Linked DNA regions of Caenorhabditis elegans. The protein of the gene in region 1 interacts with the protein of each later gene in a biochemical or structural test. Each region holds a gene or a part of one and is shown in the gene's direction. Other genes may lie near its edges. The genes, in order: rbx-1 and ubc-1.

The links.
Region 2: of the proteins of rbx-1 (region 1) and ubc-1, one has a biochemical effect on the other in vitro, tested with the Caenorhabditis elegans proteins (one study listed by BioGRID).

What each region holds. Positions count from the first base shown.
Region 1 is NC_003283.11:9,689,152-9,692,814, reverse strand, and holds rbx-1 (RING-box protein 1), read left to right. Parts: upstream 1-2,292; 5' UTR 2,293-2,294; coding exon 2,295-2,369; intron 2,370-2,419; coding exon 2,420-2,626; intron 2,627-2,811; coding exon 2,812-2,862; 3' UTR 2,863-3,129; downstream 3,130-3,663. Other genes in the region: ztf-9 (C2H2-type domain-containing protein), read left to right, coding at 679-788, 838-925, 984-1,215, 1,264-1,667. UniProt on the Caenorhabditis elegans protein: Component of the SCF (SKP1-CUL1-F-box protein) E3 ubiquitin ligase complex, which mediates the ubiquitination and subsequent proteasomal degradation of target proteins.
Region 2 is NC_003282.8:4,101,004-4,104,929, forward strand, and holds the start of ubc-1 (Ubiquitin-conjugating enzyme E2 1), read left to right. Parts: upstream 1-2,016; 5' UTR 2,017-2,032; coding exon 2,033-2,083; intron 2,084-2,996; coding exon 2,997-3,386; intron 3,387-3,926. Other genes in the region: C35B1.2 (SWIM-type domain-containing protein), read left to right, coding at 1-105, 361-422, 857-1,004, 1,818-1,892. UniProt on the Caenorhabditis elegans protein: Catalyzes the covalent attachment of ubiquitin to other proteins.

The sequences.
Region 1 (3,663 bases):
TTATCGTTTATTTCCCTTACATTTTCCAATGGAAGTACTCTGTTTAAAGCGAATTTCGTGTTTAAAAAAAATGCATATTCCTTAAGAATTGGTTTTAAATAAGTTTTCTAAACAAAAATTTCAACAAAAAAGAGACTGCCATGCATGGTCATGGTATTTGTACCATCAACTTTTTATCTCAAAATTAATTATTTTTCACAAAAATCTGACTCATATCTGTTCTCTCACGTTTTCATTTTTCCAACAGTTTTTCCCACTTTTCTTCCGCCCATCCCGCTCCTTTTTCTTTTTTTCCTATCGCCACAAAAACACACACACACACACAGCAGAGAGAAAGAGATAGGAAGAAGACGAGTCGTCGCATTTTTGTCCTCTCTCTTTCCCTTTCTCTCTCCGTTTCAATGTAGCGCGAACCGAGCGATGAGAAGAAGAAAAAAGAAGAAAGAGGAGAAGAAAGGAAGGAGAAAGGAGGAAGAGACTGGCCATTGCCCGCCCGGCCTTCTTCTCCTCCTCACACACACAAAACCACCCCCTTCTCTCCATTTTCCTTCCTTCTTCTTCTCACCATTCTTTTCCTTTTTCCACGCGTCTTCAGTTGATTTCGAACACATTTTGTTAACCGTTCGCTTCTAAATCTATATTACTAAATTTGCAGAATATATTTATTACATTCAAAAAATGAACCGACTACTGGGATGTCTAGATTGCGTTCAAACTGAGGCCTACAACACACTGGAAGATCTCGAAGCACACATTGCTAGTGATCATCTTAACATATGCCCATATGAGTAAGTCTTTAACTTTTAATATGTGGTGAACGTAGCTTTACTATTTTAGATGCGAAAAATGTAAGTACGCTAAGTTTCCAACGGAATTCGCCCTTGTCAGTCACTGTATGAATGATCATGGACTCACCGAATTTTCTGTAAGTCTCCAATGTTGAGAGACGCAGAAAAAAAATTCAACAATAATTTAAATTGCAGATAAAATATCGCTACACACCGGAGTTGAGTATGAAAAAGAAGGAACTGACCCAAAAGCTCGAACGGTGCATTGCAATGAGTCGATCTATGCGGATTGAAGGGAAAATCAGCGATGCGGTGTCAAGCACAGTGGAGAACAGAGTCAAAGTCGAAAACTCAGAAGCAACTGGCACACCTATTCAGTCATCTTCTCCTGTTGTCTTCGTAGATAATGCTTATCATGCCTTTCTAGGTAAACTTACACATAATAATGATTCCCACTCATTTGGATTTAATTCAGACGAAACTCTGGCACGTCACGAAGAAGAACGTGGAGCCGGTCCTTCATTCGAGGGAGCATCTGATGGCGGTGGTCCGATCAAGCCGAAGCAACAAATTCAATGTTCTCTTTGTGGAGACGTTGTTTCCAAACAAAGATCAAGCATGGTGTATCATGCAAATACGCGTCACGGAAAATATGAGCTCTACGAGTGCGGAATCTGTCACAGAAAATGGCAGACAATTGCAAAATCTGATGTGATCAAGCACATAAAAAGCCATCACGAGAGACCCGACGGAACCATCGACTGCGACATGGTTATTGACTATCGAAAAAATCTAGGAAACAAGCTGAAAGAAATTACTGAAAAATGTTTTCCGGAGCGAAAGAAAAAGAGAATTGGATACACGGATTTGCCAGAATAAATATCTTGAAACGATTTAAAAGTTGTTTTCTCATCGTCCCAATTGTTAGAATTACTGTTAAAATACTAACTGATACGGTTTATTTTTGTTAAATACAATTTTTCTTTTTAACCTGTTCTTCTTTGTTCGTTTCGGCAAGAAATAAGACGCGACGAGTAAATTTTAAAAAGAAAGCGAAAGCGTGAAGACAGAAAATAGGTGAGTACGGTGTACGCAAATGCGCGTAGCGTCTGGTGTGTGCAGACAAGCGTTTTTGATGATTCTTTCGAAAGAATTTCGGCAGTGTTGCTCAGTCTGATTTCATTTTATTTATTTTACAACAGCGTATCTCCTTTTTCAATACATATTAGCAATAATGTCAAGTCCTTCATGTTTCCTCATTTTCTATCGGCGGCTTTGTACAACAATGTTGTATTAGGTTCGTGAATCACTTGTTCTAGGGTACAATTTTTCATAAAATCTGATACAACAATTTTATCAATCATATCCTCTATTTAGTTTAGGCTTATAGTATTATAGTATGCATAAACATGTTCAATATTAAGTATTTCATTATATCATCAATGCTACTTTTGCGCTCTTATTTTGAAATGATTACTGTTATTCTCATTTGTATTTTTTCCAGAAATGGCCCAAGCAAGCGACAGCACAGCTATGGAGGTCGAGGAGGCCACAAATCAGACAGTTAAGAAGCGTTTCGAGGTAACACAGATACAATGTTACATGCTTTAACAAACATAGTGCAATTTAAGGTCAAGAAATGGAGTGCCGTCGCACTTTGGGCCTGGGACATTCAGGTCGACAACTGCGCTATTTGCCGCAATCACATCATGGATCTGTGCATCGAGTGCCAAGCGAATCAAGCAGCCGGGCTCAAGGATGAGTGTACCGTTGCATGGGGAAACTGTAATCACGCTTTCCACTTCCATTGCATTTCTCGTTGGCTGAAGACACGACAGGTAGGTTGCTTTTAAACGTGCTTATTTTTGAAAAAATGATATTTATTCAAATGTCAAAGCGGAACAGAAGCCTGCCGCATGCATTTTTGTTAAACAACTTTTGAAAATTTAATTTTTTTCAATTACTAAGTACTCGTAACTAGCATTTCAAAAAGCTTACACATTTTCTAATTCTATCTTTTCAGGTATGCCCATTGGACAATCGTGAGTGGGAATTCCAAAAGTACGGACACTAATCGATCTTCATTCTTCTGCCAACCGCCCGGGCAGTTTCTTCACACTTTTTTACTTGTATTCACTGATTTTTCTTCTATTTCCTTTTGTGAATATGTATTCGTCCCAAAAAAAAGCACATTAAAATCCAGACGTGTTAGTCTCTATGTGATCTGACACTTTTCATTTGTTTATTCAAATCTCCAATCCCTTCTGACCTTCTAAAATCATCCTTCCTCGCTTGAATATTTAATTTTTCTCCGCTAAAAATATAAATATGAACTGTGTCCTCTGGTCTCATAATTCTCAACGAGACAATTCTCGTGCCGTTTATGTGCTTAGGCTGTTTAGGTTCAGGTTGCGGGCACCGTTCAAGCCGCCGGAGCAAAAGGAGGAGGTCTCGTCTCGCGTAATTTATTTGCAATTCGGCTAAAACGTTCAAAACCGAATTGCAGCACATTTCTCGCCGCTTCTTCGTATTCCTTTCCGTAATAATTGATTATTACGATTGCTTGTTCGTTTCTGTGCCAAAGTTTTTTTTAAATTTTGGATACTGATTTTTGTAGAGTTCTCTCATTAATATAGACCAAGATAATTTTCTGCTTTTAAAACTGTCTACAAACGTTTATTGTTCAATAATCGACGTTGCTAAATTGCGGATATTCTTAACTTCATGAAAAGTGAAGTATCACTTTAAAGGCGCACACTACTTCTCTTGGCTGGGTCCTGCCACGATTTCAGATACAGTAGTTCCTCCGAATGCCAAATTGCACAAAATTGTTCATACATATTTAGAAGTGTTGAAGTTCACAAAGTAGGGCAAA
Region 2 (3,926 bases), on another chromosome or scaffold:
CTCAAAATTTTGCCACTATGCCCGCCAGAAGTCGCTGAGCAACTTCATAATCGAGATTTGGCAGTAATATCGTATTCCTACAGAAATGCTCCGCATCCGACGTTTGTGAGTGGAGGAAATCTGGAAAATTTGCGAAATTTCGAAGGATAAGTAGAAAAAACACTGAAAAATTGACCCAAATTCTGCAATTTTCAAGATTTTCCATGAAAAAATGTCTTCAAATTGAGAAAATTTGTGTTTTTCCATAAAAAAAACCGCGAAATTTCAATTTTACATCAAAAATCGAAAAAATTATCCAAATTCTGCTCAGAAAAGCCAATTTTCGAAGCTTTTCCATCAAAAAACTGTAAAAATTTGCAGATTGAGCAACCGGATAGGCAGAAGCTTCCAGATGGTCAACGTGTTGGTGAAGAAGTTGAATTGTTAGTTTTTTTTTTTTTTTGAAAATTTGAATTTTCAGGAAAAATGTGGATTTTTTGAGGTTAAAATTCTGAAAATTAAAATTCCGAAAAAAAAACTTCGGAAAAGTTCAGAAAAATTAATTAAAAAGAAAAAAATCCGGAAAAAATGTCTAAAATTTTTGAAAAATGAATTTACACAAAAATCTGAAAAAAAAATCACTTTAAAGAAATTTTTAATGCCAAAAAGTTTCAGAAAAATATCAAAAATTAAAACAAAATCTGTAAATTATTTAAGAAGTAATGAGTTTTCCAAAAAATTAAGAAAATAGTTTTTTTTTCTGAAATATTTAAATTAATTTTTAGGGATTTTTCAAAAATCTCAAATTTTCTATAAAATCCATAAAAATTCCCAAAAACTTCTCTCTAAGAAATCTATCAATTTCAAAATTTTTCAGAGTTTCCGGAGATGTGATGTTCGACGATGATATTAGTCCAGAAATGCGAGAAATGGTTGAAAATATGGAAAGAAAAAAGAAAATTAATTCGGAAAGATTAATGGAATTACTACAAAGAATACATCGAATTGATCAAATTTGTAAAAAAGTACGGATTTTTTTAGTCGAAATTGATTTTTTTATAGCTGATAATTAAGTAAATCAGAATTTTTACCTTAAAATCGTGAAAAAAATTGAGCCTAAGTTGAATATTTTGTACTGAAAAATTGGAAAATTTCGGCTTTAAATTTGAATTTTTCTGAAAAATATTATAAAATTTGCATTTTTCCAGAAAAATTGGACTTTTTTACTCAAAATTTTGATTTTTTGAAAGTTTTCAGTTAATCATTTCGAATTTTCCGGAAAACCTAAAATTCCAGTTTAAACTCAAAATTTTCACCGAAAACTTCAAATTTTTCAAATTTACCAAAAAATTGACATTTTCAGTGAGAAAATTGAAATTCCAAAAAAAAAAAAAAGATAAAAATCAAAAATTCACCGAAAATTTGAATTTTACTGAGAATTTCACGTTTTTTTGTAAAATTTTAAATTTTTGGAAAATTGATTTTTTTTTAGAAATTTTTAAATTAAAATTTAGAAATTTCCACTAAAAAAATCAAATTTCATTAAAAATTCATTAAAATTTTTTTTTTCACTAAAAAAGTTCGATTTGAACCAAAATTTTCTAATTTTCAGTTAGAAAATCGAATTTCAATGAAAAATTCCAAAAAATTCAAATTTTCAAAGAAAAATTTGACATTTTTGGCAATTTTCCAGCATTTTCATTTAACATAAACTGAATTTTTTACGAAACATTTTCGAAAGTTTCCAATTTTTACGGAAATTATATTCCAAATTTGCACTAAAATACGAATTTTTTTGGGAAATTCCAATTTTCTACCTAATTTTTCGATTTTTGCAGGAAGCTTGGCTGGAATCGTCGGCAGAAGTTCAACAACTCACACAAATTGCTCAACTTTTGCATTATTGTCAATAAATGTTAAAAAATATTTTCTTTAATTTTTTGATTTTTTAAAGGTTGCCGTACCTTTTTTCATACTTGTTCTAGCATTTTTCTGCATTTTTTCGAATTTTTAACCTAATTTTCACATTTTTTGCAGGAGTTAGGTTATCAATATGACGACGCCCAGCCGTAGACGTTTGATGAGAGATTTTAAGAAACTTCAGGTGAGTTTTGAAATTTTTGGCCCGAAAATTTGGCTTTCTTTGAACATTAGAGAACATTTGCAACAAAAATTGGTTTTTTCCAGAAAAAATTAGATATTTTTGGGATTTTTGATAAATTTCTCGTGAAATTTTTAAAATTAAAATTGCCAAAAAATCGCCGAAAATATCCATAAAAACGGCCGAAAATGTCCAAAAAATCGCCGAAAATTTCCAAAAAAAAATCGCCGAGAATTTTCCAAAAAAATTGCCGAATTTTCCAAAAATTCGTCGAAATTCTCCGAAAAATCGCCTAAAATTTCAAAAATATCGCTTAAAATTACCAAAAAATCATCGAAAGTTTCCAAAAAACGGTCGAAAAGCACAAAAAAAATGCCCAAAATTTCCGAAAAATCGTCGAAAATATCCAAAAGATTGCTCAAAATTACCAAAAAAAAAAAAAAAATTACCAAAAAAAATCGTCGAAATTACTGAAAAATCGCTCAAAATTTCCAAAAAATCATCGAAAGTTCCCAAAAAATCGCCAAAATTATCAAAAAATCGCCTCCAAAAAAATTGCCGAATTTTCCAAAAATTCGTCGAAATTCTCCGAAAAATCGCCTAAAATTTCAAAAATATCGCTCAAAATTACCAAAAAATCATCGAAAGTTTCCAAAAAACGGCCGAAAAACACAAAAAAATTGCCCAAAATTTCCGAAAAATCGTCGAAAATTACCAAAAAATCGTCGAAATTACCAAAAAAAAAATCACTTAAAATTACCAAAAAACGGCTCAAAATCATTAAAAGATTGCTCAAAATTTCCAAAAAAAATCGCTCAAAATTCCTAAAAAACTGAAAATTTTCCAAAAGAAAGGTTTCTTTTAATTTCCAAAAAAAATCGCTCTAAATCCCCAAAAAAACGACCAAATCTTTCAGGAAGATCCACCAGCAGGAGTATCAGGTGCACCAACAGAAGATAATATTCTCACATGGGAAGCAATAATTTTTGGACCACAAGAAACCCCGTTTGAAGATGGAACATTCAAATTATCACTGGAATTTACTGAAGAATATCCAAATAAACCGCCAACCGTCAAATTTATTTCCAAAATGTTCCATCCAAATGTGTATGCGGACGGATCAATTTGTCTGGATATTCTACAGAATCGATGGTCTCCGACGTATGATGTTGCCGCAATTCTGACATCGATTCAGTCGTTGCTCGACGAGCCCAATCCAAATTCACCGGCCAACTCACTTGCCGCACAGCTTTATCAAGAAAATCGACGGGAATATGAGAAACGTGTTCAGCAGATTGTTGAGCAGGTACACAACCCTGAATTTTGGATGAAAATCGGCGAAATTAGAGCTCAAATATTGAAAATTTGGCAGTTTTTGACCCGAAATCGAGAAATTTCACCCCAAAAATTGAAATTTGGCTGAAAATCGATAACATTTAAGTTGAAATACGAAAATTCTTAAATTTTCATCTAATGTATGCAAAATTTGGCTTTTTGTGGTTCAAAATCGTAAAATTTTACCCTAAATGTGGAAATTTAGCTGAAAATCGATGAAAATTGAGTTAAAATTAAAAAATTTTGGAATTTTTATGCCAAAACTGAAATTTTGAGAAAAATTAAACGTTTGGCTGAAATTCGGCTGAAAATAGGCGAAATTTTTTGCGAAATATGAAAAATCTGAATTTTTATGCCAAAATTGAGATTTTTTTTGCGAAAAATTGCTGAATTTTGGCTGAAAATGGCTGACATTTCAAGCAAAAATAATTTTTTTTTTTTTGAATTTTGCAAAAAAGAACCGAAATTTGAGGCTAAAAATTAAAAATTAGAAATTTTTGGCTTAGGTTCA